Daphnia pulex: one gene and its partner. The protein of the gene in region 1 purifies or fractionates together with the protein of each later gene. This does not show direct contact. Links are inferred from orthologs where the notes say so. Each region holds a gene or a part of one and is shown on either strand. Other genes may lie near its edges.

The links.
Region 2: the proteins of phosphoglucomutase-1-like (region 1) and glyoxylate reductase/hydroxypyruvate reductase-like fractionate together in Homo sapiens (co-fractionation; 3 studies listed by BioGRID). This does not show direct contact. The link is inferred for Daphnia pulex from reciprocal best matches to the Homo sapiens genes PGM1 and GRHPR.

Annotation. Positions count from the first base shown.
Region 1 is NC_060019.1:344,457-361,211, forward strand, and holds phosphoglucomutase-1-like, read right to left. Parts: upstream 7,960-16,755; 5' UTR 7,856-7,959; coding exon 7,613-7,855; intron 7,556-7,612; coding exon 7,274-7,555; intron 7,213-7,273; coding exon 7,059-7,212; intron 6,998-7,058; coding exon 6,807-6,997; intron 6,744-6,806; coding exon 6,589-6,743; intron 6,532-6,588; coding exon 6,421-6,531; intron 6,360-6,420; coding exon 6,219-6,359; intron 6,155-6,218; coding exon 5,971-6,154; intron 5,910-5,970; coding exon 5,775-5,909; intron 5,707-5,774; coding exon 5,617-5,706; 3' UTR 5,385-5,616; downstream 1-5,384. Other genes in the region: glycine dehydrogenase (decarboxylating), mitochondrial-like, read right to left, coding at 90-245, 307-560, 620-827, 887-1,028, 1,094-1,356, 1,424-1,625, 1,688-1,872, 1,937-2,113 and 9 more; probable ATP-dependent RNA helicase DDX23, read left to right, coding at 12,749-13,035, 13,094-13,379, 13,449-13,715, 13,783-14,044, 14,109-14,234, 14,300-14,586, 14,646-14,885, 14,954-15,217 and 1 more; uncharacterized protein LOC124190729, read left to right, coding at 16,038-16,062, 16,265-16,755. UniProt on the Homo sapiens protein: Catalyzes the reversible isomerization of alpha-D-glucose 1-phosphate to alpha-D-glucose 6-phosphate. The mechanism proceeds via the intermediate compound alpha-D-glucose 1,6-bisphosphate.
Region 2 is NC_060026.1:2,646,073-2,662,231, reverse strand, and holds glyoxylate reductase/hydroxypyruvate reductase-like, read right to left. Parts: upstream 10,220-16,159; 5' UTR 10,205-10,219; coding exon 10,020-10,204; intron 9,950-10,019; coding exon 9,819-9,949; intron 9,763-9,818; coding exon 9,573-9,762; intron 9,498-9,572; coding exon 9,325-9,497; intron 9,266-9,324; coding exon 9,101-9,265; intron 9,020-9,100; coding exon 8,894-9,019; exon of another isoform or gene 8,801-8,893; coding exon 8,682-8,800; 3' UTR 8,615-8,681; downstream 1-8,614. Other genes in the region: probable serine/threonine-protein kinase nek2, read left to right, coding at 6,271-6,417, 6,482-6,639, 6,707-6,923, 7,002-7,135, 7,204-8,479; uncharacterized protein LOC124205165, read right to left, coding at 14,224-14,775, 14,869-15,068, 15,136-15,187, 15,263-15,349, 15,415-16,043. UniProt on the Homo sapiens protein: Enzyme with hydroxy-pyruvate reductase, glyoxylate reductase and D-glycerate dehydrogenase enzymatic activities. Reduces hydroxypyruvate to D-glycerate, glyoxylate to glycolate, oxidizes D-glycerate to hydroxypyruvate.

The DNA of each region.
Region 1 (16,755 bases):
AACTTAAAGATGGAGAATGACGGGAAGATCGGAATATAAGGCACAACAACTTGGAATGAGAATCTACAGCAATTAGCTCATTCCCACTTTTACGCTCGAGCAGCAGCAACTCCATCTAGACTGTCTGAATCTTTGTTCGTGTACGATTCCATTGGCGGACAGGTGCAGACCAGATTACGATCGCCGTAAATATCGTCGATACGTCCAACTCTCGGCCACATTTTCGTTTCGGGACGCACAAAAGGCTGTAGAAAACAATGGAAAATGAATATCAAATTTATTCGAGATGGAAAAGTGGAAATTTACCGCAGGGAAGGCAGCCAGTTCCCGGGAATAGGGTCGATCCCATGTGCTGTTGATGATCTGCTCCTGTGTGTGTGGGCTCATTTTAAGAGGATTACGCACTGGATCCATTACACCCTTTTCAATCTGGTGAATTTCATGCCGGATGCGGATGAGAGCTTCGCAAAGTCTGTCCATCTCGTCCTTATCTTCTGATTCAGTTGGTTCAATCATCAGCGATCCTGCAACTGGGAAGCTCATCGTTGGAGCATGGAAACCTGTAACCGAACAAGAATAAGTTGTCTGGATGAAATGATTTTGCAAGCTGGTATCGTACCATAGTCCATTAGACGCTTGGCAATATCGACAGCTTCGATGTTGGCAGTTCGTTTGAAATCCTTGACGTCAATAATGAATTCGTGGGCCACCCAGCCACTTTGATTGGTAAACAAGATCTTGTAGTGGGGCTCCAAAATGCGGCTCATGTAGTTGGCCGAAAGGATGGCAACTTGGGTAGCTTCTTTCAAACCTCGGGCACCCATCATCTAATTAATAACAAAATTTAATTCAATGCCTTTTAATAAAGGTAATCTTGAATAATCACCTTAATGTAAGACCAAGAGATGGGCAGAATGAGGGGTGAACCAAACGGAGCTGCACTGACAACACCAAACGACTGGGAAGACTGTCCATTAAGAGGATCAATTACTGGATGTGTTGGCAAGAAAGGTGCCAAATGTTTCTTCCTACACGATGAAATTAAATTTGAAATGACTTGGGGATATCAAGGAAAACTCAAAATTTTAATTACACTCCGATGGGTCCCATTCCAGGTCCGCCACCACCGTGCGGGATGCAAAACGTCTTGTGAAGGTTCAAGTGAGAGACATCCGAGCCAAAGTCGCCGGGTCGGCAAAGGGCTACCTGGGCGTTCATATTGGCACCGTCCATGTAAACTTGACCACCTCGTTGATGAATGACGTCACAAATTTCAACTATTTTTTCCTCGAAAACACCATAGGTCGACGGGTATGTGATCATCAAGCAGGCCAATCTATCTTTGTACTTTTCGGCCTGGAATTGGAAAATTATTTTGTCAAAAAATGTTCCATCGAGTTTACAGATCTACAGGTAGAAATACCTTTGCTTTCAATTGAGCCAAGTCAATGCTACCAGCCTTGTCCGTATTAATGGGTTCGACCATGAATCCGGCCATTTGAGCCGAAGCTGGATTTGTTCCATGGGCGGACACGGGAATCAGGCAGACGTTTCGCTGTTTTTGATCGATGGAATCCAGGTACGCCTTAATAGCGCGCAGTCCTGAGTACTCTCCCTGAGCTCCACTGTTTGAATCAATTTCAAATGAATGAAGACGAGTTATTGAAAGTAATTTTGATTGAATTACCTGTTTGACTGAAAGGAAATATTGTCGTAGCCAGTGATATCGCACAAATCAGCTTCCAACTCTTTAAACATTTGATGATAACCGCCGACCTGGCTGACGGGGGCGAATGGATGGATATTGCCAAATTCAGGCATACTGGACGGCAACATTTCAGTGGCACTGTTTAATTTCATCGTGCAAGAACCCTAAAAGAAAATAAGAATATGCATAAATAAGAGGAAACACAATTGTAAACAGAAAACAAATTACCAAAGCAATCATAGAGTGAACTAATGAAATGTCTTTGTTTTCCAGGGATTTCATGTAGCGCATAATCTGCGTCTCTGAGTGATGTGAGTTGAAGACGGGCTGAGTCAAGTAAGAGCTGGTCCTCTTCCACTCGGACTGTTCCAAACTGGACGAAAGAATATCTGGTCGCTGAGACACCTGAAAAAAATGATTTCATTATACTCACATCCAATTAACTGATAAATATGTCAAGTCTTACTTGTTCGGCTGTTACATCGACATTAAAAATGGCGAAAATATCATTAATATCTTTCTCGCGAACAGTTTCGTCAATGGAGATACCAATCTAAAAAAAATAATTAAAAGTTAATTGAATCAACCGAAATAAATAATTCAACAATTAGTACATCTCCATCGGGAAAATAGCGCAAATTGATCTCTTGCGCCTCTGCACGTGCTCTAATATCTTGGACGGGTAAAGACGGTTGAATTTTGAGCGTATCAAAGAATTGGCTATTCCGCACTACGTGACCGCCAGACTCCAAACCTGTTCCAATGAAACGTCACTTTTTAGATCCACTTTGACTCGTTTCCAACTTTGTTAAATCCGTACCTTTGGCACAGACAACAGTTGAGTGATGAATTCGTTGAGCAATCTTTTGCAAGCCGGCAGGACCATGGTAAACTGCGTACCTGAAAACAAATGAATAATTCAATTGTACTGCTACGTGCCGATGGAAAGGGAATAAAATTACATGGCAGCCATGTTGGCAAGTAAAGCTTGAGCTGTACAAATGTTGCTAGTGGCTTTATCACGGCGAATGTGTTGCTCGCGTGTCTGCAGGGCTAGGCGGTAAGCGTCTTTACCATCGACGTCTCTCGAGACGCCCACCATTCGGCCGGGCATAATTCGAACCAGGTTGTTTTTGCAGGCAAAGAAGGCCGCATGCGGTCCTCCGTAACCGAGAGGAACACCAAAGCGCTGGCTGTTGCCCACAGCGACATCGGCACCGATTTCTCCTGGTGACTTCATCATTGTGAGTGCCATTAAATCTGTAGCACAGCAAACTAGGGCCTGCAATAAATATGATTATACATTAAAGAAAATAGCGAATATTTGATTTGTTATTCATGACGTTTACCCCTGCGGCGTGGGTCTTGTCGATGAGGTTTTGAAAATTTTGAACCGAGCCATGAGTATCGGGATACTGGAAAAGAACGGCCGAAATATCTTTTTCAACTTCAGTCACGGTGCTGAAATCGACGATTTTGACTTTTAAACCCATGGCAGAACAACGGGTCTCAACGCAGGCAGTTGTCTGTGGATGGAGTTTATCCGAGACTAGAAATACTTTTCTCTTGTTAGATCTAATATAAACAGATATTATGATTGTTGATTTTCATTAGACGTCAGAATTATATCATACCGGCTACACATGGCGAGGGCCTCAGCTGCCGCTGTGCCTTCGTCGAGTAGTGAAGCATTAGCCACATCTAGGCCTGTCATATCAGCAATCATAGTCTGGTAATTGAACAAGCTCTGTAAACGTCCTTGAGCAATTTCTGGCTGGTATGGAGTATATTGGGTATACCTGCATTCCACAAAGAGAATGAAAACAAAAGTTAAAGTTTGTTATGTAAAATGGAGACTTACCATCCAGGGTTTTCAAATAGATTTCGTAGAATAGGGTGAGGAACATGGCAATTGTAGTATCCCATGCCAATGAATGAGCGCCAAACTTTGTTTTGCTTTGCCAACTCCTGCACTCTTTCCATCAGCTGGTATTCATCTAGCACAAGGTTAACTCATAAACACACATTTTTGTATAAATCTTATTATTGTTACCTAATGGTTCTGTCAGGTTAAGGTCCCTTCCCAACTCAATACCTTGTGGGAGCGCATTCTGGGTAAGTGTGTCCAAATCCTATTTGTTCGTTGTCAATCAAAACAGTTATTAATACAATAACCTTCATAGATAAGAGGATCAAAATATATATCAAACAAACAGATATGTCACAATATTGGCCTATCAGTGTTGTTCTAAACGTGATTCAACGTGATTCTTAACAACATGCTAGACGTCTGTAAAGTTTAGGATTAATCCGCGGGTCCAGTGTCTACGCATTCCAAGTTTCAAGGCTTTCAAATGCCAAGACTAAACAAAATCTGTTCCCTATTATTTTTGAAGGCCTAACAATTCTCAAGGACGAAATGTATGGGCACTGCTATTTGCGGAAGGACGAATGTGATGGAAAAAGAAAACGTTTCAAACGGATGGAGCAGACGACTGTAGAACAAAAACAAGGAAAAACAAAAGACTAACGAAATTTGGGCTACTAGTAAAATAGAAACTTGTTTCGAATTTCAAAGAATTACATTCACCACACACAATACTTGTAAAAATAGGTGAAATGTACCTTGCACCCAACTACTTGAAGCATTTGTTGCTTCTGGGCTTCATTGGGTCCAATATGTCGACTTTTGAATGCCTGCCGAGCGGGCACGACGCGGTCGAAATGCGTTCCGCAAATCCGCTGCGCAGTATTAAGACTTCTCGAGCTGGTGCGGATGCATTCTTTCAGAGGACCCACCACTCTCAATAGATTCTGCATCTTTAAGGCCAATTATTACACAACGTGAGTCAAATGAAACAACACCGCAGGGCACTGTTACAGCACTATGGGAGACTGTGCAAGTAACACCTCACCACGACGAGCGCACGAAACGAAATGAGCGAATCGAGAGGTTTGCATTCGACTTTTTCAGTGCGGACGAAACGGGCGACTTTGACCTGGTTGTGTGTGTGTGTACATAGGAAATGTGGGGGTATAGGCAATAAGGTGGAGGGGGGGAGATATGTACATAAGCGAAACTGATCCCGAACCAGCGCGAAGCGGTTTTTCAAAGCTCATTTGGCGCCCTTGGGCTTCAGTCCATGGCCAATCCGCACGCGGATCCTTTCACTGCCATCAACTGCTGGGCATTATTTCGACTCGGCTAATTTTATTTTGTTGACGTATAGGTAACTGCCCAACTGCGATGTTGGCCAGAAAACATTGAACTGAAACGCATTTAACGATCGAATCTACCAAAGTTACATAATACAATCATTTTGTAAAAATCAAAACGCTAAATTTGTTACAGACCCAGACATAAGTTGACACTTGGTCGAAATAGATTTAGGCTAGCGATAATTCAGTGCAAACAAATAAGTGTCAAAACGGATTTGTCCAAAGTATAGTTTTTTTTTCCTTTTCAAGGACAAATGTCGTATGTTAAAAGATAAGGTGCAAAGTGCCGGGAACAATTCCTATACGTACCAGTGCGTGTAGATTGGCTTCAGCGTCAGTCGTGGTGCAACTTGTACCGAAGGTCTACCTCTCAGCCGAGAGATAAATACGTACGTATGATCTGAATTAGGTTTTCCCTATCATCACATCGGGACTAGTATAGACAGTTCACGCAGTATCACAAAGATTGCCTGTTTTATTAGACAAAGCAGCTAGCCACTCGGCAAATATTAAATTTTAATGATAACAGGAGAGATTCCAATTTCAACAACAACAACAACACTTTCTATAGACTATTAATTCATATCTTACCCAAAATCCAACACGAAACAAACAAAAACTAGAGCGCTGACTAAGAATAACTGCAGCTCGATTGCTCGGCAAGTTGTTGATTAAAAACGGCGTTATTATTACGTAATAACTGTGGGCTCGTCTCTGCCGGTCAGCTCCCGCAACTTGGAAATTCGAAGCGCGATCTGAACAAGTGGTTTCAACATGACCTAAATTCAATACGGCATTTATCTTTAAAAGCTTCAGGGTTACATCAATCAATGTCAATATGGTATACCTGGGCGTCAAGCAGATATTTATCAGCATCGGACTCGTAGCTATCGATGTAAAGGCGGACAGTAGCCCCTGAGCTTCCAGTGCCGCTCAGGCGAATGACAATACGCGATCCATCTTGGAAAATGATCCGCAATCCCTTTAGGATCAAAATGAATTAATACTGACATTTTTATTTCCGTTAAAGACATTTGTAGTACCTGTTTGGAGGAGAGGCTACCATCGATGGGATCGGTATAAGAAAAGTTATCGGCCAGGGCCACCGTAAAAGATTTGCCATCGAATTCGTGAACAGAACCGATGAACGAGGGTTCGTTCATGAGTGCCTCAAGGTCGGCCATCATTTTGTTGCAGGGCTCGGAATCACAATTTTCGTAATCGTATCTAAAAGGTCAATTCAATGTCATAAGTAACGTTACATAAATGTGTTACGTAACCTCTAATTCACCTCGTGAAGAAGTTTCGCCCGTACAAAGTCCAGTGGTCTTTTAGAATTTGTTCGACTGTTTGTTTCCTGGTGGCCAGAATAGACAACCAGGCAAGAACCGCCCATATTCCATCTTTTTCTCGAATATGATCTGAGCCAGTTCTATTAAAATTGCAGATATGAAATATTTTCATAAATAAAATTCGAATGTACTAAAATTTACCCAAAACTTTCTTCGCCGCAAAGCGACAGTTGTCCGGCATCCATCAGATTGCCAAAGTATTTCCAGCCGGTGGGGACTTCGTAGATACTTTTCTGCAATTTGACGGCAACCCTAATAAAAAATTATTTAGTTAAAACAAATTCAGTGGTCCAATAATGTAATTAATACCTATCGACAGCGGCACCAGTAGGCATGCTTCTGGCAAATCCTCTAACTCCAGTTTTACGGAAGTAAGGAATACAATCCATATTGTTGGCGATGACTGCTAAAGAGTCGGAAGGGGTGACGAAGAAGGCTTTCTCACCCAAAATCATGTTTCGATCCTTCATTTAAATACACACATTGAAATATTGAGTTAAGTTTAAGAGTTAATGAAAGTTAATTACTCCATCTCCATCAAAAGCGGCTCCAAGTCCGAAATCGCCTTCTTTCATAGCTTGAACCAAGTCGGCGGCGTAAGTAAGATTCGGGTCAGGATGATGTCCTCCAAAATCTTCCAGGGGAATAACATTTACGACACTTTGTGCGCTAGCTCCAAGCTCTTCGCAAAATATGCGGCTGACATAAGGACCGGTCACTAAAAAAACAGTGGTCAGCCAAATGGTGTCGTATTTAAAGACTTTTTCAAAGATCAATACCTCCGTGCATTGAATTGATCAACACTTTCAGAGGGGTTTGACCTGTTCCACAAATAAGGTTTTTGATAGAACCAAAATCAAAGATTTCTTTCATCAACTCCAAATAATCGTTGACAGAGTCTACGACTTCAACTGTAAATGGGTGGCCTTCAATCTACAAAGAGTGGAACATGGTATGAAATTTTGAATGACATCACTAATTTTAGCTTTCTTACATCAAATTGCTGAGTTCCAATGGTCTTAATATCACATTTCAGGTCTGGTACTGTAGAATATTCCTTGATTCCAGTAGAAAGCTCATAGATTTTGTTGGTTACACCATCAGGTGCAGGCCCACCGTTGGAGGTGTTAAACTTGATGCCGAAATCGGCATCAGGACCACCTGGATTGTGACTGGCAGTGAGCAAAATTCCACCGTTGGTCTTATACTTGCGAATCATGCAAGAGACTGCAGGAGTAGAAAGAATTCCGTTCTGCCCAACAATCAGCTTGGATACCTGTAATGACATCACATTAGAACCATATTTTTAAAACGGAATAACAAGGATCTGTACCTTATTGGCAGCACAAATGCGGACAATGATCTCGACTGCTTGGTGCAAGAAATATCGTCCATCTCCACCAAGTACCAGAGTCGAACCGGTTAGAGCCTCACCAAGTCCTCCAGTTAACAACGACTGAATAAAATTTTCCGTGTAATGTGGCTGAGAAAATACTTTAACCGCTTTTCTTAGGCCGCTAGTGCCAGGTTTTTGGCCTTCAAATGGCGTTGTAGGTACTTTTATTGGACTCAACATCTTAGTTTTTCTCCCGTAGTTACAGCACAAGAGACTGAGACTAGAACTTTTTGACGGACAAGTCAATGATACGTCGTCTGTTTTGACCTTGTACGTGTTTGCGGTCGCACTGTTGGAAATGGAACTCTTGTTGGCGGTGTCGACCGTTCAACTTCCAAGATTGAGATAAGAGATGACACCTTTGTTGTTGCTAGTTCGTCCTTATATTTCACACTGCCGTATAATACAGCATTTTGGTATTTCAATAGTTGGTTTAGGGTTGAGTAGGGTAGGGAACAATAGATTGAATGGGAAGAGAGGGTAAAATTGGGGCCCTCTGTTGAGGTCCCTACAAATTACACAGAATTAACAATAGCAATAATGTCGATCACTGTTGGGATGCAATAAATTCCCAACACACTCCCCAGTAGAGCCCGTTCAATTGGCTCGACATCCTGATCGACTTGATATCCGTTGGATTGGAGATCTGAAAATGCGGTTGAAGATGGATGGCCTGGATTAAGAGGAGCTGTTTCGTTGACTGGCTACGGATTCAGTTAATTGTCCATTCCATTTGATTCCGATTGAGAGTTGGCTGACTCTTTGGAAGTTTGCCACCAGGATCCCATACCGATTGGTGTGTGTTGGAATCTTCTTCAATGTCCTTTAACACAAGAATATTTTTTAGTAGATGTGAAACGATTTTGTTTGGTACCTGGGTTAACGAATAAGAGAACAGCAACTGGTTGATGAGATGTTCTTCTATACTTGGTAACCTTGAGATGCGTTTAGGAGCTGGTTTTACTGGCTCCAAGCGCTTCCGTTTCATTGAGTTTTGTTGATTGGCCAATTCCGGAAGAATTGCTGCTTGACTGCACGGCGATCTGAACTTCGGAATGATTTCTTGGTTGCTTTCTACGTTTGTTGAATTGACAAATGCAGCGGCTTCTTGAGGATTTTCTTTCGAAGCTTCCTGGATTTCTGGCGACGATGATAAATTTCCAGAAGAAGAGAAGTTGGTTTGTTTAAGTTGACTCGGAAAAGAGTTAAGTGTTTCCAGCGATGCAGCTGGCCTTCCCGAGGGGAAAAAAAGAAAGGTAGGAATATCCTTTTCTTTGGAGCCGGCTGGCGGAATCCTAATAATTGAATCTTTAGTTTTTAGACAATTGAATGTGTCAGGAACTTCTGCTTGATAAGTAGGAGTTTCTTGATGACTAAGAGAGTGAGGAGCTTCTGCCGGATTGGCTGGAGCTTTTTGAAGATTGAGAGTACCAGGAGCTTCTGCCGGAGTAGCTGGAGCTTCTAGAATAATGAGAGGACGAGGAGCTTCTGCCGGAGTAGCTGGAGCTTCTTGAATAATGAGTGTGCAAGCAGTTTTTTCGTTGCTAGAGGAGCTCAAGAGATTTTTGGACTCCACTGCATCTACACCATCTAAGTTTGCAAATTTGAGGTTAGTTGCTTTCAGCTCGTCTTCAAACCTTTTTTCGTCTTTGTTTCCACTGGATTTGACCGGAATATCTGAGATTGATAGCCCTTTTTTTGGTCGTTGTTGGAGACTGGCTGTTCCAGGCTCCTTTTCCATCGGGACTTCTTTTGACTGGGCTGATTTGACGTTTTGGTCGCTGTAGCAACTTTTCGCGTTCGATGATGGGATTTTTTCTGCTCCTTCCAGATTTGCTGAGTTTTCTAACTTTGAAACAAAGGAATTATTTTCTTTTATTTCGTTCCTTTCAAACCTTTTTTTGTCGGGATATCCGTCTGGCCCATCCGGAGAATCCGAGAGTGAGTCTCCTTTTTTCGGTGGGTGAGGGAGACTGGCCGTTCCAGTCTCTTTTTCTTCCGTCTGGATATTTTCTTTTGACTGGTATGAAGGGGTGTTTTGAAAACTACAGCTTGTTGTCGTAAGCGACGACACTTCTAGTGGAGTTGGGTTTGGCACTAATACTGCTGCAAATTGAGATGTTGAGAGGGTTTTGAGAATTGACTCTATTACTGGATTTGTTTGAGAAGCTGGCTCCTGAGAAGCTGTTGGTGATAAGTTGACATCTCCTGGAGCGACGGGCACTGAAAAGGCTGTTGAGATGGCTGCGATCACCTGACTGATTATGTCCCGATTGAGTTGTGCTTGGGTTGCTGCCTGGTTTGCTGCCTGGGTTGCTGCCTGATGTTGGAGAATTTGGAGCATTCTTTCTCTGTCCTTCTCCCATTCTTCGTCATCTGCTTCCTTTTCGAGTTTGTCTAACCATTCTCTTCGTTTTTTCTTTAAGATGTGAATTTTGGCGACAATAACATCGTCCATTGTTTGGTACATGGTGTCGATGTCTGCATTGATCTCTTCTTGGTCTTCGCCTTCTTTGTACATTTCAGCCTGGACCCTTTTTGAGAATATCTCATAAGTTTTGTAGAATCCATCTAGCTTTTTTTCTAATTTTTCGACTTCGATAAACGCTTCCAACGTCATTTCTGTTGATTTGTACGTTTCGACGAGGTTAATGATACGGGTGATATGCTTTTTAATTAAAGTTCTTGCGTAATTTGGAGCCATTGTGAGTTGGAGGTGGCTCCTAAGGAGCTGCTGAGAGTACGAAAAGAAGATAATTAGTTTAAATTAATGTTTTGATTAAGTTGATTAGCCTTTTTGTTTGTTGTTCTGCTCGGTCTTCGGAGATTCGTGGTGCCGAATTAAATTCTGCTGTCTTTTCCACTTTCTTTGAATTCCTTTATGTGAAGATATCTGCAAAAACTGAATGATTTTGGAGCTAGGGTAATTTTCTAGCTCCTTACAATCCCACAAACGGCATAATAACAATTTTTAGGAAAGAGAATTTAAAGAGTTTTTGCCGCAAGACGGCGGTTTCTAATTCCCAATTTTGTGCTCAGAGGGCGCTTTGTGCCTTCTCAGAAAAAGAGAAAGATTTCCCTTTAAGCAAACAAAAAATGCAAGAGCGTAAGAGCGCGAGATTTGTTTCGAAATGGCGGAAGGCCTTTGTAAATAGAGAGAGAGAAAAAAAATTCAAGTTTTAATCACCCTAAGGCGCACACGAGGCGAACGCGTTGAAAGGGTAGAGAATTTTCCCGCGTTTTTTCCAGTTTAAAGGGGAAACCGGCCTAGCCCCCCAAAAAAGAGAATATTTTTCTGTCGTATTTAGAGAGATCGTTGTGCCTTCTGAGACAGAGAGAGATTTACCCAAATGATTGAATAACAAACAATGCAAATTAATTCAAAAAATGAGAGAGATTTGTTTTCGGGAAATGGTCTAAGGCCATAGCAAAGAGAGCGATAATTTATTTAAGTCTTTTCACCCTGGGGCTCACACGAGGCGAACTCATTGAAGGGTTAGAGAAGTTCCCGCGTTTTCCCAATCTAAGAGGTAGGGAAGCAAGCCCCCCCAAAAAAAAATTCTTGAAAGGAAAGAGATTCCCGCGTTATCCCATTTTTAAAGAACGGGCAGTGAACCCAATCAGCTGAGATTCGTTTTTACAATGCCGGGAGGCGTATCAAGAGATAGAGAGGGAATTTAACCTAAGGCTCACACGAGGTGAACACGTTAAAGAGGTAGGGAAGTTCCCAAGTTTGCCCAATCTTAGATATTGGAAAGCAATATCCCCCCAAAAAAAAAAAATTTGTTGAAAGGGAAGAGAGAATAATCAACTTAGGCGATGATAATTTACGTGACAAAAAAAGAAATCCCCCTTCAAAAATGATTTAGGAATCCTATTTTAATTTTAAGAAACTTTGAGGAAATATTTTAGCTTTAATTCAAGAGAGAGAAGAAAAATAATTTACTGTTTAGAGGGATCTATTTGCTTACTAGACCCCTGAGAACAAGTTAAACTCAGAGAGAGAGAAAAAGATTCTAATAAATGACTGACCTGCCATAATTAAACACAATTTTCTTTGATAAATGGCGGCAATGATTAAGCAAAAGGAGATAACGAGAGAAAGATTTGAGTGTGATAGAGCGAAACTAACTTAACACTGGTTGGAGAAAACTCCAGTTCGAAGGACCATGTTGGAAATGGAACTCTTGTTGGCGGTGTCGACCGTTCAACTTCCAAGATTGAGATAAGAGATGACACCTTTGTTGTTGCTAGTTCGTCCTTATATTTCACACTGCCGTATAATACAGCATTTTGGTATTTCAATAGTTGGTTTAGGGTTGAGTAGGGTAGGGAACAATAGATTGAATGGGAAGAGAGGGTAAAATTGGGGCCCTCTGTTGAGGTCCCTACAAATTACACAGAATTAACAATAGCAATAATGTCGATCACTGTTGGGATGCAATAAATTCCCAACACGCACGACAATTTCACGTCCGCCAATTTTCATCAAGATAATAACTGATGTATTTTTCTTATCAATTTTTAAAAATTCTACGTTAAATATTTTTCCAACAAAATGAAAATAAGCTGCAGTATTTTTTTCGAATTAATCCAGTCTGGCATCGTGACGTTGTTTAAACGCTTTTGTCGTCTGCTACACATTGATGATGCGGTGGTCTTGACAAAAAGTGCGAAGTTTCTTATGTGATAGCTCATTTCGGATATTATTAAAGGAAAACAAAAGGTAATTAGACGTGAAAAAATTACTAGCAAAACTATAAATGTTCTTGCAACGTGTTTTTACTATTGGGGTGACATTAAAATACCTCATGTTTGATTTAATCGCCAAAAGCTTCTAGAACATAGTCTTCAACTTTGTGAACCATTGGGGCCTATTTTGTTTAGAAAATAACTTGATTGAAGTTTTTAAATTCTTGTCACTAAATTCGTTTTACATGCTGTAGTATATTCAAACTAGATAGGGAAAATTAATTGATTGACACTTAAGGATCTGTAGTTTAACAGTTTATTATCATCTTTTTCGTTTCACCTGTTTAAAACAGCTGTTGATTATTTACAGAATAATCAGAAATGGTCAACGAGGATCGAAGAGACGTTCGCGACGACCGAGATCGCCGCAATAAAGATAGAGAAGGTGATCGAGAGCGAGAAAACAAAGATCGCGAGCGAGAACGTGACAACAAAGATCGTGAAAGGGATCGAGATAACAACAAAGATCGTGACCGTGGCAATAATCGAGACAACAAAGATCTTGCCAGAGATCGTGATCGTGAGAGAAGAGAACGCGAAAGGAAAAGATCACGCAGTCGCTCTCGTAGCCGTGATCGAACAGCAAGACGACGTAGATCCAGATCCAGGTAATGAAATTAACCTTAATTATATTTGTCCATTGATTCATTTGTTTTTGTTAATTAGGTCACCAAGGGACCGTCGAGATCGTAAAGATGTGAAAACCGAACAAGATGCAAAAGACCAGGAAGCAAGTGAAGAAAACACTGAACAGCAAGCGATTAAAAAGGAGCCCCTGTCGCTGGAAGAATTGCTGGCCAAAAAGAAAGCCGAAGAAGAGGAAAAGAGCAAACCCAAGTTTCTCACGAAAGAAGAACGTGCAGCCGAAGCTATGCGAAAGCGACAGGAGGAAGTTGAAAATCTACGCAAACAGCAAGAAGAGGAAAGATCAAAACGGAATGCCTTTTTTCAGGTTTGTATTCATATCCTACATTATTTGTTATTTTAGATTTAACACGACATCTTTTAAAATTGATTTTAGGCGGCTAAAGAGACCAACAGGGAACCAGAACGCGATCGTCGACGTGATCGAGAAAGGGAGCGCGAAAAGGAGACCAAAGATCGTAAAGATGGTGAAACAGACCGCGATAAGCAAAAGGAGATGGATGCCATCAAGGATCGTTACCTGGGCATGGCCAAGAAAAAGCGACGTGTCCGCAGGCTGAACGAACGTAAATTCGTTTTCGAATGGGATGCGGCAGAAGACACTGCCGTCGACTACAACCCAATCTACAAGGAAAGACATCAGGTAAGAAGACCCTTGATATAAATTTTAAAAGGTGAAATTCTAACGTTTTCTTTATTTTGTTGATTAGGTCCAATTTTACGGTCGTGGTCATGTGGCCGGAATTGACATCAAAGCCCAGAAGAAAGACCAGTCGAAATTCTATGGTGACATGTTGGACAAACGCCGGACAGACACTGAAAAGGCCCAGGAGAAGGTCCGTTTGAAGAAGGAACAAAGACGAGAAGACAAGCAGAAATGGGACGACCGTCACTGGCAAGAGAAAAAGGTCGAAGAAATGACTGAGCGTGATTGGCGTATCTTCCGAGAAGATTACAACATCACCATTAAAGGTATGTTACCTAAACTTGTTGATTAATTAATATGTTTAACTTAATGTCTTTTGGTTTTTTTAAGGTGGCAAAATTCCTAATCCGTACCGTTCGTGGGCTGATTCTGATCTCAACAAGGAAACTTTGGAGATTATCGAAAAAGTTGGATACATTGATCCTACTCCCATCCAGCGTCAAGCCATTCCCATTGGTACGTTGCCAATAATTACTTATCTGTTTGAAAAAGTAAACTTATTTCACGTGAATTTTTTTCAGGATTAAAGAACCGAGATATTATCGGTGTGGCTGAAACAGGATCAGGAAAAACCGCCGCATTCTTAATCCCCTTACTCGTATGGATTCAGTCGCTTCCCAAGAACGTCCGCCTGGGTGACGATGATTCGGGACCCTACGCCATCATTTTGGCTCCTACTCGTGAGTTGGCTCAGCAGATCGAAGAAGAATGCATCAAATTCGGTCAGCATTTGGGCATCCGAACGGTTGCCGTCATCGGTGGTCTATCCAGGGAGGAGCAAGGCTTCAGACTGCGAATGGGTTGCGAGGTAATTTCTCTTATCCTATCCCAGTTTATTCATTTCATTGACTTTTTTACTTTTAACAGATCGTGATTGCCACTCCCGGTCGTCTGATTGACGTTTTGGAGAACAGATACTTGGTGCTGTCACAGTGCACGTACATTGTGCTGGACGAAGCTGATCGCATGATTGACATGGGTTTCGAACCCGACGTGCAAAAGATTCTGGAACACATGCCAGTCACAAATCAGAAGCCGGACAACGACGACGCTGAAGACGAGCAAAAGCTGATGGCCAATTTCAATTCCAAGAATAAATTCCGACAGGTATTGGTTTGGTTAATTCTAAACGTCAGACTGGTTTATTTACCTCATTTTTTATTTCCTTTTTGCAGACTGTTATGTTTACGGCAACCATGCCTTCGGCGGTGGAGCGATTGGCTCGAACTTACCTGAGACGTCCGGCTGTGGTCTACATCGGCTCGGCCGGCAAACCTGTGGAACGGACGGAGCAAATCGTCTACATGGTTGAAGAGAACGCCAAGCGCAACAAGTTGATGGAAATTCTGCGCCGCGGAAAACTCGAACCTCCCATCATCATTTTCGTCAACCAAAAGAAGGGAGCAGATGTACTGGCCAAGGGCCTGGAGAAATTTGGCGTAAGGCATTTTAATTTAAAAATTTTGTCTAGTTGAATTCATTTAAGGTGTTTATTTATTCTTTCGACAGTTCAATGCTTGTACTCTGCACGGTGGTAAGGGTCAGGAGCAGCGTGAATTTGCCCTTTCCAACTTGAAGTCAGGAGCCAAGGATATCCTGGTGGCCACAGACGTTGCCGGCCGTGGTATCGACATTAAGGATGTCTCGTTGGTCATCAACTACGACATGGCCAAAACGATCGAGGATTACACGCATCGTATCGGTCGTACCGGGCGAGCCGGCAAGCATGGAACAGCCATCTCCTTCTGTACCAAGGATGATTCGCCACTCTTTTACGACTTGAAGGCTCTTCTTCTATCCAGTCCCGTGTCGACGTGTCCTCCGGAATTGGCCAACCATCCAGACGCTCAACACAAACCCGGAACTGTTGTCCAGCGCAGACGAAAAGACGAGAAGATTTTCGCTTAGATTTTCTTTTAGTTTATGTCTCGTCGTGCGTTCAACTCCATTTTTAATGATTCTGAATTTTCCTTGAAAATAAAATAAAATCATTTCTGCTCCAACATGAATTTTATTTCTATTTTTGCAGCGATTTTGAGCATGACTTATGAAGGGGGTCACTTTAAGAGGTTTATGGAAAAGGTTTCGGAGAAATAGAGTACGGAAGTGATTGTCAAACGTCGATGAAAAGAGGGAGCCTCATTCACAAGAATTCAGCGTCGTACAATAATCGTCAAGATAAGTACAGTTGTATTCAAGCAGTTAAGCCTTAACAACAATAGTAGAAGTTATTCACTCTTTGTCCATGTCTAGGAGAAGATGGCCTCTGCTAATCTAACCAACGGTAAGTTACAATTTCAAAATCTTAAAAGAGAATAGAGGCGCGAGAGTTTAGAGAGATTGCACGATTGTATTGCTTAACTAAATTGTTGAATTGTTATTGTTGAAAAGAAACAATAACTAGCCTAATATTTTAATCAATTAATTAGGATAGGAAAGTTCAAGTCTTATAATTCTTAGTTTTATTTCATTATTGAACTTTGCAGACAACGACGATTTTAGAAAACGGGAAATCGATGACGTAACAGACTGGAGTGAAGTTATTACTGCGGCAACCAAGATCATTGCTTTCATGGGCAAATTGTCGATTGCCAGAAATCGAGTACCTAGTTTCCAAATCGACCAGAGCGACCAAAAGAAGATCCCTTTAATTCAAGATCCGGAGAGTTTCCGGATGGCATTATTTCAAATCTACGCGGATTCCTTTGAAGCCATCACGAAAGCGCACATCGACATGTTAAGGATTCAGTTGAAGACGGGACAGGTGCCTCGCTACTACGCAAATTACATGGAATATCTGAAAAATGACGATAGAAAAGCCACGAAGAAATCAATTCGCAGACGCTTGGATAGAATCAAACAAGACATTGACGACGGAGCGACAATTTCAAAAGAAGTTTGCGATTCTTTTGACAAATTAAGTCAGCTGATTGGACAAGTAATCGAAGCCTTAATGACAAGCCTGGACGTCAAGAGA
Region 2 (16,159 bases), on another chromosome or scaffold:
CATCTTTTTAGAACGCTGTAACTCATAAGGACGCTACTACTAAAACTGAGCAGTCATTTAAATGGACTCCGCCAGCAAGTTTTACCGGAAAAGTCACGATGAAGTTAGTTAGAATCTACTATGATTTTTTTAAAGCGAATATTACTTAATTAACGAATCTTTATAACTCACAGAGCCACAGTAGTTGAGGCTTATGCTTTAATTTACAGGGATATTTCCTCCGAGACTATTACTGTTGTAAGTAAAAAAAAACATGGCTGCGATTAATTTTTTCTTGATTAGCAAGAAGTTATAATATACAAATTTTCGATATTCCTTTCTCACAGTCATAAATTGAGCTGAGACTGCTGTTGCTGGCGATTGAACAAATATCAAATTCCCCTTTTGGACCAGTTACAAAATTTGAGCTAATTTAATAAGACGCTGGCGTCGCTACTTTCAAATTTCTTAAAACTTTATGAAATATTTAAAAAACCTTGCACTTAATTGAATACTGATAACAATGCATCATTTTTCTCCGTCTGAAAAAATACATAATTCCACAATAGAATGTTGAAATTATATCAAACTGTCAATATCCTTAAAGGGAGTCATTTCTTTCAAAGGATCCACAGACATGTAATATCATCCGCTTGTTGGGTAAATCTGTAAGCATATCGTGCCGATTTTTAAAAATCCTATTTCTATCTCATATTTCAGAATGTTAGATTGAGGAAAGGAACGTTACGTACCATCAAGATCGTGAATGATCATCGATATTCTGAGGTGGCGATTGTCGTCCTTTATCGAGTCACGAAGTTTTGCAGCTCTTTTTTGCGGCTTTTATGGGCGCACTCCAACTTCTTAAAACAGGTTCACTATCAAATTCGAATGCGATAACTCAATCTAAGCAATTTGTAGATACAATCATTTACCTTGTATGCATTTTGTTCTAATAAGCGACCGCGTTACGTTCGCAGCAGAAGAACAAAATGTGATGAATAAAACTGACAGATTTTGCGGCGAGGGGACGATTGTAATCTGGAATTTAAAAAAAAATGTATTGTAATAGATAATATTTTGTTTTGCCAAACCCAAACATAGTGTCCTTTTTTTATTGATCTTAACTCGCTTTTTACGTGAAAAAACAAAACAATAGGTAACTGGAACTCTTTCTCCGTGACGCGAATCTTCAAACTGGAATTTGTTACTTACAAAATAAAAATAACGGTTGAAAAAAATCTCCATGTTGCTTTTGAATTACGTCATTTTCTATTATTAACCGCAAAAGAACTTCTTTAAAAACTTCTTTCTGAAAATCAATTAAACTTAGAAAGAACTAGATCACCACACTATACAACAAAAGGCTGAGTTTACTCCAATCAGCAGCACTCCCAGTGGACCACTCCCCCATCTTTAGCTTTCTTCAGAAAAAACACAAGTGCCAAGATAAACACTTTGACCATATCCAACCCCAATTGGCTAAACGATTAACGGTTCCCGTTAAATTAACAACCTTGGTCAATATGAGCAAAGAGGCTTTAAGAAGGTTACAAGGACGGATTACAAAACCCCATCGATTCCGTTTCAGGAACCAATGGGAAACAAGATAAGACTCACCCCCTTGTTTGACCAGTCCTATATAAGTATACAGCTTCACTTGTAAACCCTAATTCTTTCTGCAGAGACAGTTGTGTAAGCAACCCGCCAGCTCACCTATTCAGCAGTTTCTTTCGCTAAATCTCTTCCTCGACATCCCGAAAATGGACAAAGAGCAACGGAAACTACTTGCAATTCTCGAAGATGGAACAGGAGAGGCGTCGGCGCAGATGGAAACTGGAACTTCTATTACGCAAAATTACGGAGCAACAGTTGCCGAGGCCGCTAGCCCGTGGAAAAGCATCGGAGCTGAGCAATCGACTGGCGGTTTCCAGCTCATCCGCTGTGCGGCCTGTCAAACTCTTTTCGACATTTCCAAGCAAAGGCACCAGAGTCTGGTCAGGTGCAATCAGTGCAACGAAGCCACGTCGATGGTCCGGGCACCGGCCGGCAAAAAGTACGTGCGATGCCCTTGCAAATGCCTGTTGATATGCCACGAATCGGCCTCCAAGATCGCCTGCCCTAGACCTGGATGCCGAAGGATCATCAACTTGGCTCCAAAGCAATCCTTCCAGACACCCAATTCTCTTCCCATCTTTACATGCGCCTACTGTTCCAATCAATTTCTGTTTAACCTGCCCAAAAGTGCTCTAAGCGGATGCACGTACGCCCGATGTCCCGATCACGATTGCAAGAAAGTCTCGTCCATTGGCAGCCCGAAATTCGGCCGAAAATGGGCCATCATTTTCTTGATTATGAGCCTCGTCTTCACAGGTGCTGCTGTCGGCCTCATTTGCACCACGACTTTCACGGAAGAATCTACCAAAGGAGGGATTTACGTGATCTACGTTGGAATGTTTCTAATTGCTTTTTTGTCATTCGTTCGAAGTCTTTTCTATTGGACCATGAAAGTTAGCTTAATACAAGGGTCTACTTAATATCTTTTTTTGTGTCACAATCATTCAAATTAAAGCGTTTTACAAAATAAAATACTCGACTGCAGTATAATTAATAAGGTAAACGATGTGCTTGACCTTTATTCGAGCTTGGTAGTTTATACTTCAAATTCTCACGAGAACTCCCACTGTATGATATTGCATGCTATCACGCAATTCGTTACGATGCAATCAAAGAAGTCAATGTTGTCTTGGTACTCTTGGATAAGTCGATAATAATAACAGGGTGTTTAAATGACTACAAAATCCGTACAGCCCATGAGTTTCAATATTAAAGCATTCAGCTACTTTATCCTTTTGAAAAATATTGAAGCTCCCGTTAATTTAACCTGGTTAGGCACAGCCAAAACCGATATAATTGATGGGAACTTATAACAAGAGCTACTAGTTTTAATATTGATGAAGCATTTGAAGGTTATGAGTCACGGAAAATCGTAATAAAGTCAAGCGACTTTAAAACAGTGACACATTTGTCATTAACGTGAATCTGCAAGAATAAACTGCAAGGTTTTCAAAATTTATAAATAGACTTGGAATGCCATTATGACTATAATTCACCTCCAAGAAATCAAATCAAATAGGAATCCCCACCCCCGTTAACAAATTCATTTCCAGCTAAGGACGAAGGTCAAGCAACAAGGATTACTTGTCCGGTCCATTCGATTAGCGAATGGAGACCAGCAGGAGATCGTACTACAATCCGAATACTAGGAAAACAATCAAGTGGCTCTTTAATGACTCATAGGAGGAGAAATGCTTTTCGCCTGGTCATATTGAATCACCTATATATGCAACAGCTTCTTAGTTTTTCACCAATTACCAAGTGTCAGTCGTTGAGCAAACAAGTGAAATACTCGAATCGAACAACAGATGATATTTGCTTCATACTTTGTGATTTACCAAAAACTACAAATGCATTCCGAGCCGAGTAAACTTGTTCGCGATTATGGAAGTACCAAATACGTCAGTCTATCGTCCATTGTGTCAACTGTGAATTTCCCCTTGATCAGCTGCACAGTGTGCGGAAGCGAAATCAACATTTTCGACACGAACGATCAAAGTGTTTTCCAGTGCTCAAAGTGCCACGAAGGCATACCCATACGACCCGCTCCGGCCGGAAAGAAATACGTCCGCTGTCCATGCAACTGTCTGATCATCTGCAGGGAATCGGCTCTTAAGATTGTCTGCCCACGATCCAGCTGCAAGAGGACCACTCATCTCGTTACTTTAAAGGCCCACAACGCCATCCCCAGTACGCTCTTCACCTGCGCCTATTGTTCCAACCCATTCCGGACTGACCAGCCAGCAGATCCGGCTGGCGTATTGGTGCGGTGCCCTCATTTTCATTGCAAGAACATGACGTCCATCGGTGGACCCAAACTCGCTAGGAAATGGGCCATCGTTTTCCTGATTTTGAGCACCATGTTTATTGCCCTGGCTGCCGGTGTAGCGTACGGAGCTATCTACGTGGAGCAAACTTCGAAAGGAGTCATGTACGCCGGTTACGTCGGATTGTTTCTCGTCGCCATGATCTTGTTAGTTCGCAGCATTTTCTATTGGACGATGAAAGTCAGCCAAAAACAAGGATCTGCCTAATTTTTAAACATTGTTCGTTTGTTTCAACTGGAAATAAAAATGTTTTTATGATGTGAATCAATTTAAATTTGTCGCAGGGCGCAACTGACGCAAGTCACCATTTTGACACGAACACGGATATGCTAAAAAGAACCTATTAATTATAATTGTCTGCCCTCCCGTATTACTCATGAGAGAAAGAACCGATTGAATTACCGAAGTCGAAGAACTTTGCTTAAATTCAAAGGCAAACTAACCGCTGAAAATGTGCTCGATCTCAACTTTGAGAAAAGTATGATGATGGCAAAAGCGTTGACGCTCTTTTTACCATTGCAGCAAAGTCATCACGAATCACGATATTAAAAAAAAAATAAACTTGTGGAAAATAGTGAACGCAGGTCAAAGAGCTTCTTCTCCGAGTTCACTCTTTCAACAGTTGACCCAGTGGCACTTCAATGAACGCGCTGACCAACTCAAAACGATTTTAAATTGGTAAAGGGTAAGCATAAATACCGTATTATTTGAATAGCAGCCAAGTATTTGCATGTCTAAACGCGGATGTGTCGAACCATCTGGAAGATATCTCCGCCAATAGGCTGCTAGCGTATTTGGAGAACGGCGTAGAATAATCAATGGCATCGGGAACGCAAGCCGCAAAGTGTCACCAAAACATCTGCAAATTCTATGAGAGAAAAGGTAATCCAGTTTTGTTATTTGGTACAATATATTTTTAAAAATTAAATATACTTCTTTTAATTTCGCAAAAAACACGCAAGAATATTAGTAGAAATTGATACATTTCAGATTGAAAAAATTTAATGAAATTTCGTCCATCCGAAAAGACTCGACGCTGCAACAGCCAAATACGATTAATGTTCTTTCCGCTGTTCCCACTGAGAATACTGGCGTTCCAGCTGGACGACAAATTTTGCAGTCTAATAGTCATCGAAAAAAAGCGGGGCCGAGGTTTCAAAATAAAATGGTTGAATGCAGCACTGAACGCAGGAAAGAGTATAAAACGCGCGAACGCAAACTTTTCTCTAGGTTGAGATCAAAACGTTGAATCTGAAATTAGAATTGTTCTTATTTGTTTGCTGAGGCTTGTTTGAAAAAGTGAAACAATTTTTTTTTTCATTACTCCTATAGGAAACAATGGCAACCGCAACCTGGATAACCAACAGCTTTAAAACACGTGATGTAAACGCGCGTTTTATCCTTCTTGCGTTCAGAGCTTCCAGTGAATTTTAACAATCGATAAACGATTGCAAACTACGTGTGACAAAAAAGATAATGTTTCTCTTAGCCAATTAATCAACATTCAAGTTATCTCGCAAGTACCTAAAACAATTATGTCATAACTTTAAGGCTGTTTTAATGGGAGGTTGCTAAACGAATAAACGATTCGAAGTGTAGCGTTACCAACTCGCAATTGCCTCTACAGTAACAACTTCTCCGAATGAGATAAACGATTCGCAAAACCATTCCAAACTTCCGTATTAACACAATATGAAAGTAGTTGCACGAATTATAAACAAAACAATATCTTAATACCTTCATATTTCGACGAATTTTTTCATCTCGGATTCTTGGAAGGACTCTAGCTGATAATGAACGTTAGTACCTCAGAGGTTTTCAGTTGTTTAGAAATGAATTCAATCTTTCGCAATCTCTCAACTGCTGCATTCAGCGTTATCAGTTGTGAAAAAGTTGGCATCTTATAATGAAAATAGGCAGCGAAAAACCAGAGAAAATGTTCACGTTAGAACAACAGAACCAACTGTAGCCACTAGCAGCCGACACAAAAATAAAAACTGACCTTTTATTTAAAAAATAAAAAAAAAAAAATTATTTATTATTACCAAAAATAATTTTTTTTTTATTATTAGAAAAATGATTAGTGAAGAGTGAAGACAAAAGAAAAACCGTTAGAAAAAATAATAAATGATAGCGTTCTATGGCTTCATGGCTTCGCTTTCTTGGCGCCACTGCAATCTCTTCTGCATTGGCCTCTAACCGTCAACTTTTGTTTTTTTAAACAAGCTTTCAGAGTAGCAAGTCAGTTTGCCTACAAGCTGTCAAATCGCTGTATTTAGTCAAACTTCTGAATTACAATCGATTTCGCCTATTTTTCCCGCTTTTGGGCATTGTGCAAATCTCAAAGATGACTTCCAAAATGGATGACTATCAAGTTTTAGAAACGTTAAACGACAGCAAATTTGGTGTACGCCACAAAATATCTCGATCTGACGGTCGCTTGTTTGAACGACGCGAAATAAATTACAAATCTATGGATGATGCACTGAAAGAGGTAATAATTGGTTATCTTTACTTAATTTCTGTGTTTGCTTGCTAACACATAAAAAAAAATTAAGATGGTGATATATGAAATCAACACACTGAAGAAATTAAGGCATCCAAACATTATCCACCACGAAGATGCCATCGTTGAAAGGAGATCTTCTACTCTGTATCTAATAACTGAATGTGGTGGCAGTGACAGTTTGCAGACATTGATTGATTATCACAGAAGGTAATTGAGTAAATATTTTTTTTATAATGTGTGCTTTGCATGCTAATTGCTAAATCATATATCACAGGTCAAAGACATTTATTAAAGAAGATTTGGTTTGGACGGTTTTGTTACAGTTTTCCCAAGCTTTACACTCGCTTTCTCTAGTGCAAGACCCATACAGAAGCCAAATCTTTCACCGCTGCTTGAGGCCATCAAGTGTATACTTCAACTTTCAAACACACAATATCAAGATTGGAGATTTCGGACTTGGTCTCATATCTAAACCCTACTACATGTGCCCTGTGAGTACACACAGTATATGCATTCCATTTTTCTTGCAAGAGCAAATACTCATGATTATTTCTTAACCTATTATTAAGGAGCTACAAAATTTGGGATTGTGCAATGAAAAATCTGATGTTTGGTCGATGGGATGCATCGTCCACGAAATGTGTACATTGAAGACGCCGTTTAGAGTAGAAAACGACTCTAAAAATCAAATCACAGATTGGAAGTACGTTATTCTCTTAACTAGTTACGTTTTCCTACGATCTCTAACCCATTTTACTTTGTTTCGTTTAGATTTGGGAGCATTCCAAAGATTTATTCCCGCGACCTGTTCTCCATTCTACGATTTATTTTGACTCCAGACGAGGAAACGAGGCCTTCTCCTCTCATGGTTCTCCATCACCCAATAATTAAAGCGAGGAAAGGAGGTGGAAAGAGAGTAGACGGAAGGAACGGAGTACTGGAAACTGATTTCCCCCTCTCGTCTAAAGAAAACCTTACCGTCATTGCTGAAGATACATTGGAAGTCTCGATCGCCGACTGCTCCGACCTGTCCCTCAATCAGTACCTATCGATGATGAGTGACCAGGAAGCTTCGGCGACGTACATCGATGACGTGGACATCCAATCCATTGAGAATGGAACAGCCTATCCCAAAGCCACATCAAGCGTTCTCCATGCCAGCCCCATGCCATCTCCTATTACCAAGAACTTCAGTGGATCCATGGGGCGTCCGCGATCGTCAGCCGATAATTCGCAAATGTCTCGAAAAGCCACCGAGTTGTTTCTAACGGAATCGCATTTGCAGCGGTGGGCTAAAATGTTGGAAGAAAAAGAACAGGAGCTGGCCCATAAAGAGAAGCGACTTCACTTGTGGGAGACTCAGATCAGAGAAATGTTGAAGCAATCTGGGCCGCTGAATCAGTCGAATAGCAGCAGTCAGAATTCCTATGCTCAACCACACCTGACCAACGAAAGCAGTGGAGTAGAGACTGACATGGACAGTACAATCAGCGCCTACCCCGGAGATTCCGTTTTGGAGCCGACTACAGTGCGAATGGACCCTTCCAAAATAACGAATCCTTTCACACGGTATCAGGCAGGCCGGCAAGTTCGTTTCCAGCGATCCGACGACGACAGTGGTGGCCAGGCCAGGAGCGAAGCGGCTTCCAAAATGTTTGCCGAACAGCGACTCCACTGGCTTGAGATGAAGAGGAAGAAACATCACCTTGCGCAATCATCACCACCACCACCACCTCTGCCACCTAAAATGAGTGGCCCACCCAAACTCGAAACGGATTACATTTTCATGGAGGAAAAATCCATCCCTATTGCAGCTACGAAAACTCGAACGGGCAAGTCGAGTGAGCCAAGAAACAAATTCGAAATGCCATCACACCTATTGAAAGCCGACAAGGAGAACCACGGCGGGAGTCTGAGATATGACCCGTCCACAAAAGGCCCTCCACTTCCTACCCGTCCAACCAGCATCAAAAATAATGATTCCAAAATTTTATCGAACGAATTGCGAGCTAAGCTCAAGTCGCATAATTTGCCCGGTTTACGTTAAATGAATATATTTCCCCCTTTCTTTTTATTTTAAGGTTATTCAAAACAAGGACAGTTTTCCACCCATTTTAAAGAGGCTGTTTAGTTCCTATCATTTATGTTTATGCATTTACATACTCAATCATTTATATACTAACCTCCTAGCGTTTTGAAATGTTACCTAATAGTTTTTTTTTTCTTTTTTTTTGTCTCCTCTGTCACTTTTAACATAACTGGGCCGGCATGGGCTTTCCCTCCAATGCATTGACAATGTTTTGCGCAGTCATCGTTGCCATAGTAGTTCTCGTTTGTAGTGTCGCGCTTCCAATGTGTGAGATCAGCACTAAGATGATCGAAAAAGGAAAGAAAATTTATAGAGACATTAAGATATTTAGTGTAGCGTTATCAATGGAATAATACACGAATGATTGGCTACCGCAATTTTTGAGTTGTGTCAGTTCATGGTCCACTGGTAAAGGCTCGGGTGTCATCACGTCAAGTCCTGCGGCTGTTATCTGTCCCGTTTTCAGAGCATGCACCAAAGCACTTTGATCCACGACACCTGTCAAGCGTACAAATACATAAGAATTAAAATGACATTGTTTCAAGTACGTTCTCCATTTACGAAACTAATGCAAATAACCTCCTCGGCTGGTGTTTATCAGTACAGCGTTCGATTTCATTGAGGCAAACTGAGCTGGGCCAAACATATTTCTTGTCGTATCGTTCAAAGGGCAGGTAATGATAACCACGTCAGATTCTTTAATAAGATGGTCAAATGTCACGTATTTTCCAGACACCTGAGCAGCTAAATAGATACTAGGATTTAATTTAGATTGAATGAATGAGAGAAAGTGGAGTTCATACCTTCAGGTTTCTCTTGCCTTCCACAGTACATGATCTTTGCTATGTCAAAGGGTAGCAATCGTTTGGCCACAGCCAGACCAATACTACCCAGTCCAACAATTCCTACTTTGGCTCCAACTAGTCCACCTCCACACATCCATAAAGGTCCCCAAGCACTTTTGGCCCACCCACCACTGTTCACATATAAAACAGTCTTCAAAGTAAATTTTGAACAGCAAAGTAAAAAAAAAAATATTTGATTTCAATACTTTATGATTTCATCACGGGCTTCAAACAGCCTCCTTGTAGTGGCTAATGTTAACGCAACAGTTAACTCAGCTGTGGAAGCGGTATGGACGTTGGGGGTATAGCCCACGGATATCTTTCTTTTTTTGATTTCGTTTATGTCCAAATGGTCATAACCGACAGACATTGTTCCTATGACTTTCAGCTGTGGACCTAAATTGAGATATTTAATTATTATGAGCGTTAACAGCATGATTCAATTTCATTACCTGCTCTTTCTAAGACTTCATGGTCTACCTTGTCAGTAATCAAGCAGAAAAGTCCATTCTTTCCAGAAATCTTGTTCAGAAGATCAATTCTGGAAATCGGGGAATGATCTGGCATCAATTCTACTTCACACCTAGCAAGAAATTAAACAACATAAAACATGTGAAATAAACAACCACAAGGGCAATATACTGTAGGTATACTTTTCTTCTAGTATACTGATGGCGCTTTTGAGTATGTCCCCACGAGTGACGAGAACCTTGGGTTTGTTCATTCTTTGACTATCGTAAAACGTGTGACGTGAGTTGGCTTTCAAAACCCAGATATCGACAGCATTTCGTGCAATAGCATAACATCTTGCTAAAATAGCGGAGCATTCGATCGGCATCAGGCTTGATCGACTATTGTTTTCAAACTTTAGGTGTTGCTGCAGAAAAGTAAATTCCAAAGATTTATTCCCGCGACCTGTTCTCCATTCTACGATTTATTTTGACTCCAGACGAGGAAACGAGGCCTTCTCCTCTCATGGTTCTCCATCACTCAATAATTATAGCAAGGAAAGGAGGTGGAAGGAGAGTAGACGACTAAAAAGAGTATTGGAAACTGATTTCCCCATCTCGTCTAAAGAAAACCTTACCGTCATTGCTGAAGATACATTGGAAGTCTCGATCGCCGACTGCTCCGACCTGTCCCTCAATCAGTACCTATCGATGATGAGTGACCAGGAAGCTTCGGCGACTTACATCGATGACGTGGACATCCAATCCATTGAGAATGGAACAGCCTATCCCAAAGCCACATCAAGCGTTCTTCATGCCAGCCCCATGCCATCTCCTATTATCAAGAACGTCATTGAATCCATGGGGCGTCCGCGATCGTCACCGAGTTGTTTCTAAAGGAATCACATCTGCAGCGGTGGGCTAAAATGTTGGAAGAGAAAGAACAGGAGCTGGCTCATAAAGAGAAACGACTTCACTTGTGGGAGACTCAGATCAGAGAAATGTTGAAGCAATCTGAGCCGCTGAATTAATCGAATAGCATCGGTTTACGTTATATGAATATATTTCTCTTATATTCTCTTTTCTTTTAAGGTTATTAAAAACAAGGAAGGTTTTCCACCCTTTTAAGAGAGGCTGTTTGGTTCCTATCATTTATGTTTTTGCATTTACATATTCATTCGTTTATATACTAACCCCGTGGCGTTTTGAAATGTTACCTAATTGTTTTTTTCTGTTACTCCTCTCTCACTTTTGCTTTTAACATAACTGGGCCGGCATGGGTTTTCCCTCCAATGCATTGACAATGTTTTGCGCAGTCATCGTTGCCATAGTAGTTCTCGTTTGTAGTGTCGCGCTTCCAATGTGTGGGATCAGCACTAAGATGATCGAAAAAGAAAAGAAAATTTATAGAGACATTAAGATATTTAGTGGTAGTGTTATCAATGGAATAATACACGAATGATTGGCTACCGCAATTTTTGAGTTGTGTCAGTTCATGGTCCACTGGTAAAGGCTCGGGTGTCATCACGTCAAGTCCTGCGGCTGTTATCTGTCCCGTTTTCAGAGCATGCACCAAAGCACTTTGATCCACGACACCTGTCAAGCGTACAAATACATAAGAATTAAAGATATTGAAATGACATTGTTTCAAGTACGTTCTCCATATACGAAACTAATGCAAATAACCTCCTCGGCTGGTGTTTATCAGTACAGAGTTCGATTTCATTGAGGCAAACTGAGCTGGGCCAAACATATTTCTTGTCGTATCGTTCAAAGGGCAGGTGATGATAACCACGTCAGATTCACTGAGAAGATGGTCAAATGTCACGTATTCTCCAGACACTTGAGCAGCTAAATAGAGATTGGGAGATAAGCGTATTTAAATATTTTCACTTGATTGAATGAATGAGAGAAAGTGGAGTTCATACCTTCAGGTTTCTCTTGCCTTCCACAGTACATGATCTTTGCTATGTCAAAGGGTAGCAATCGTTTGGCCACAGCCAGACCAATACTACCTAGTCCAACAATTCCTACTTTGGCTCCAACTAGTCCACCTCCACACATCCACAAAGGTCCCCAAGCACATTTGGCCCACCCACCACTGTTTACACATAAATAAATCTTTTAAGCAGACTTTGAACAAAGTAAATAAAACTTTTGCTTTCAATACTTTGTGATTTCATCATGGGCTTCAAATAGCCTCCTTGTGGTGGCTAACGTTAACGCAACAGTTAATTCAGCTGTGGCAGCGGTAAGTACGTTGGGGGTATAGCCCACAGATATCTTTCTTTTTTTAATTTCGTTCATGTCCAAATGGTCATAACCGACAGACATTGTCCCAATGACTTTCAGCTGTGGACCTAAACTGAAACATTTACAATATTAGAAGCATTAACTCAATTCAACTTCATTACCTGCTTTTTCTAAGACTTCATGGTCTATCTTATCGGTAAGCAAGCAGAAAAGACCATCCTTTCCAGAAATCTTGTTCAGGATGTCAATTCTGGAAATCGGGGAATGATCTGGCATCAATTCTACTTCACACCTAGCAAGAAATAAACATACAAAATGTAAAATTAACAACCACAATGCCAATATAGGTATACTTTTCTTCTAGTATACTGATGGCGCTTTTGGGTATGTCCCCACGAGTGACGAGAACCTTGGGTTTGTTCATTCTTTGACTTGTAGTCGCAAAACGTCTGACATGAGTTGGTTTTAAAACCCAGCTATCGACAACGTTTCTTGCAATAGATATCTTGTGAAAATAGCGGAGCATTCGGCTTCAGGCTTGATCGACTTGTCAACAGTAAATGACTTGTTGTTGACTTGTTGTTTGACTACTTTTAAATAACTCAAACAGCGATGCCAAATTACTTCGAAAATCAATTACTACGAAATCAACAGATGAATTTTAATATCCCTCCCGCTCAGCCTCAGATTTGCTTGTAATAAAACCCTGCGGACATGGAATTTCATATTTATAGACATTACTATCTGTTGAAAACCCTGCCAGCACAATATTGGCTAAGAGAAAGGAGGTTCACCATTTAAAAAATGATGTTCGTGACTTTGTGGTACACCTTGCCCGAAAGAGGTTATTTTTAAGCAAATTTGAAGTATGCAAATTAAGCAAAAAATGCAAATTTCTAAGTAAAACATGAACATTTTCAGCAAAATATGAAAATAAGTAAGTAAAAAAAAGTACAACTCAAGTTAAGTTTATCGAATTGAATCCAAGTTTACTCGTTTTTCATGACTTTTACAACTTATCGTGGTTAAAGTTGGCCAAAAGTATGCAAATATAATGACGCCAAAAAAGCACGCAAATTATGCCAAAAAATACGCAAATGAAGCAAATATTACGTCGATAAAGCAAAAAGTATGCAAATGAAGCAAAAAAAATTACGCAACCGAAGCAAAAAAAACAAAAAGTATGCTAATTAAGCAGTCCGCAAAAATTAATCCAAAAGTACGCAAATTGTAAGCAAAAGAAATTTTTGCTTAGTACACCCTAAAACCCAATAAGTGGTGAACCCCTGGCTGTCAGCAAAGTTCGACGTGACGTGAATAATGAACGGGAAAAAGACCCTCTCAACATCGTCGTGTAGGCATATAGTCATCATCATTTCAGATTAAAGATATGCAATTCCCGTTACTGCGCAGCTGCTGTGCTGTGCTGTGCTGTGCCGATGGTTAACCCTGCACGCCATTAAGATACTAATAGACCCGGTTTTTTTTCTTATTTTTCGGGAGAAAAGAATCTCATCTCACGGCCGTCCAACTTGGTGGGACGCAAATCGATTTTCATCAAAACTCGGGCTGACGCTCGCGGGGGCTGCTGGTTATTTAGTTATGGGCATATTAACATGTATTGGCATCAGGAGGAACAGCCAAAAAAAATTACAAAAATTGAGAAAAAAGGTTACCAAAAAATAATAAGAAAATGGGCAAATATAATTTTATACAGAAACAGATCTGCAACTCTTGAATCGTGACTAATTCTGCGGAAGAACTCATTCGTATACGTTAAAAATTGTGTTGAGCGAACAGCATCAATATCGAGAGTTCGTGAGAGGTAGTAGTTACGTCGACATGGTATTAATATGCAGGTACGCACCTCGCAACATGGATGATCATACAAAATAATGAATAAAATCACACGCAAAAAAACATTGTCAATTCACATCATCAAAATCAGTCTCCTGAGAGTCAAAAACAAAAATTATTTACGACATTTCATTTTTTTTTTTACTGTATATCGGCTCACACCAAAATGTTTATCCGAGTTATTTTAAAAATCTTTCACACAAGTTTGTCCTGACTTTAAATTATTATTATTATTATTTTCGTATACACGTGTGAGACATTTGTTGAAGTGCAATTGGGAGCACCGAGAGATGGCGTTTCAAGCGCTTTTGTCGACCAGCAGCAATTCGCTGGTTTTATTGGACGTGTCTACCGCGACCACGTCTCGGACCGAGACCGTCGGCGGCTGATGGTCGACCTCGCCGCCGCCGGATGGATTGCGCATCATCCGCTCGTAGTTTTGCGACAAATCGATCGGCGCTGGATGGAAGCCTCCCGTTCCGCTGTCGTCGTCGTCCGTCGTCGACGGCGGTTGCGGGGGCACGACACCGCGGGCCGTTTGGGCGGCCAGGACGTGCTGGCTGAGGGCCAGCTCGGCGGCGGCGGCAGCGGCCGCCGCCGGAGAAGCGGCAAAGTAAAGGCTCAACTCTTCCAGTGTGTTGGGACGGCGGTGGAAGTGGCCGTTGTGGTGGTGGTGCAAGTTGTGGTGCGGATGGACGACATCCATCGAGTCGTCGTCGTCGTTGCCTCCGCCGTTGATCCGCGATCCGGGAGATCCGGCGGATGAGAGATTTCCGCCTTGAGCTAAAGAAACGGCAACGGCGATGGATTGGCGGTACGGACGGCCAGTCACGATTCCCAATTTCTTCACCTGCAGACAACAAAAGGGAAATGACGGAATGTTGGATTTTACACGGGAAATTTCGCAACGATTGTAATCGTAATAAGTTCAGAAGAAACGAACCTTATCGTAAAGAGTGCGGGACGGAACGCCGTAGAGTCGCGATGCCTGCAAGGCACTTTGCCCGCTACGGACGGCCTCGATGGCGGCAGCGATATCGTGACGGGTGTACTGTCGGTAGCGCTTCAATTCCGGCCGGTTGCCATTATTGCTTTTGCCGTTATTGACGTGATACTCGGACAGTGAAGAACTTTGCGCCAAATCTAAATCGAATTTTTTAAAAATTCAATTTAAGTTTAATTTCATTTAGAATGTAATTAAATGCATTACCTTTGACGTGATTGAAGACGGGAGAATGGTTGGATTTGATTCGATCAGTCACCTGTAAAAGCAATCAAATAACAAATTTAATTAATCACGGAAATAAAAATGAAATTTGAATTCATTTGATTCATACCATGGGCTCTTCACGGTCATCTTCAGGCGGATTGGTTTCTGAACTGGACGATCCATCTCTTTCCTTATCTAAACTGCTATTGGTCCTCTGTCAATGAAATTCAATCGATTGAAATTTTTGCTCAAAGAAAATTGTCAAATGTTGAAATGTACCTCGGGAGTTTTGGCAGGTGAACGTTTGAAGAGGGGCATCTGGAGTAGACTGGCCGGAAGGTGTTGAACGACCGGCTGAGGCTGCTGCTGGACAACCGGAGGAGCCGGAGGAATGTGCGAGGCCACCGCCGCTGCAGCCGGCAAAGTGTGAATTTGCGGAAGGAATCCGGAATTGGCGGCGTGACCGGAGGTGGGCTCGAAGCTGAGACCGGACAATCCGGCCGGACTTCCGGCGCTGTCCTCGGAGTAGAGTCCCTTGACTTTGAGCGATTCGGCGGCCTTGAGGAGAGCGCCGACCTGCTCCTGAGCGACGCTCACCTCTCCCCGGTAGATGAACTCGAGAATGGCCTTCAATTCCGCCAGCTGGATGTCTTTGAAGACGACGATGGGATGCTGCTGCGGCGAGCCAAGGTACAGGTTGTCGTTGACGAAGAGCGACTGGAAGTAACCGGAGCAGGCGGCCAAAATGATCCGGTGACACTTGATGGAAGCACCTCCGCACGACAGGGTCACATCCGTCAGCGCTTCCGTCTGCAGTAAATGATCAAATGCTCCTAATAAATTCGAACGGTGCTGATTCCAGCGGAGGCAGTACTGCTGTTGCGGACTTCCACCCATTTCTTTGATCACTTCAACAATTTCAAAATTTCCCCAAATAAAAATTAAAAATGATTCAATCAAACTAAAAAAAAAATAGACTGAGAGAGAGAGAGTCGTGCAGAGAGGTCTCTCTTCGATCGCTTCA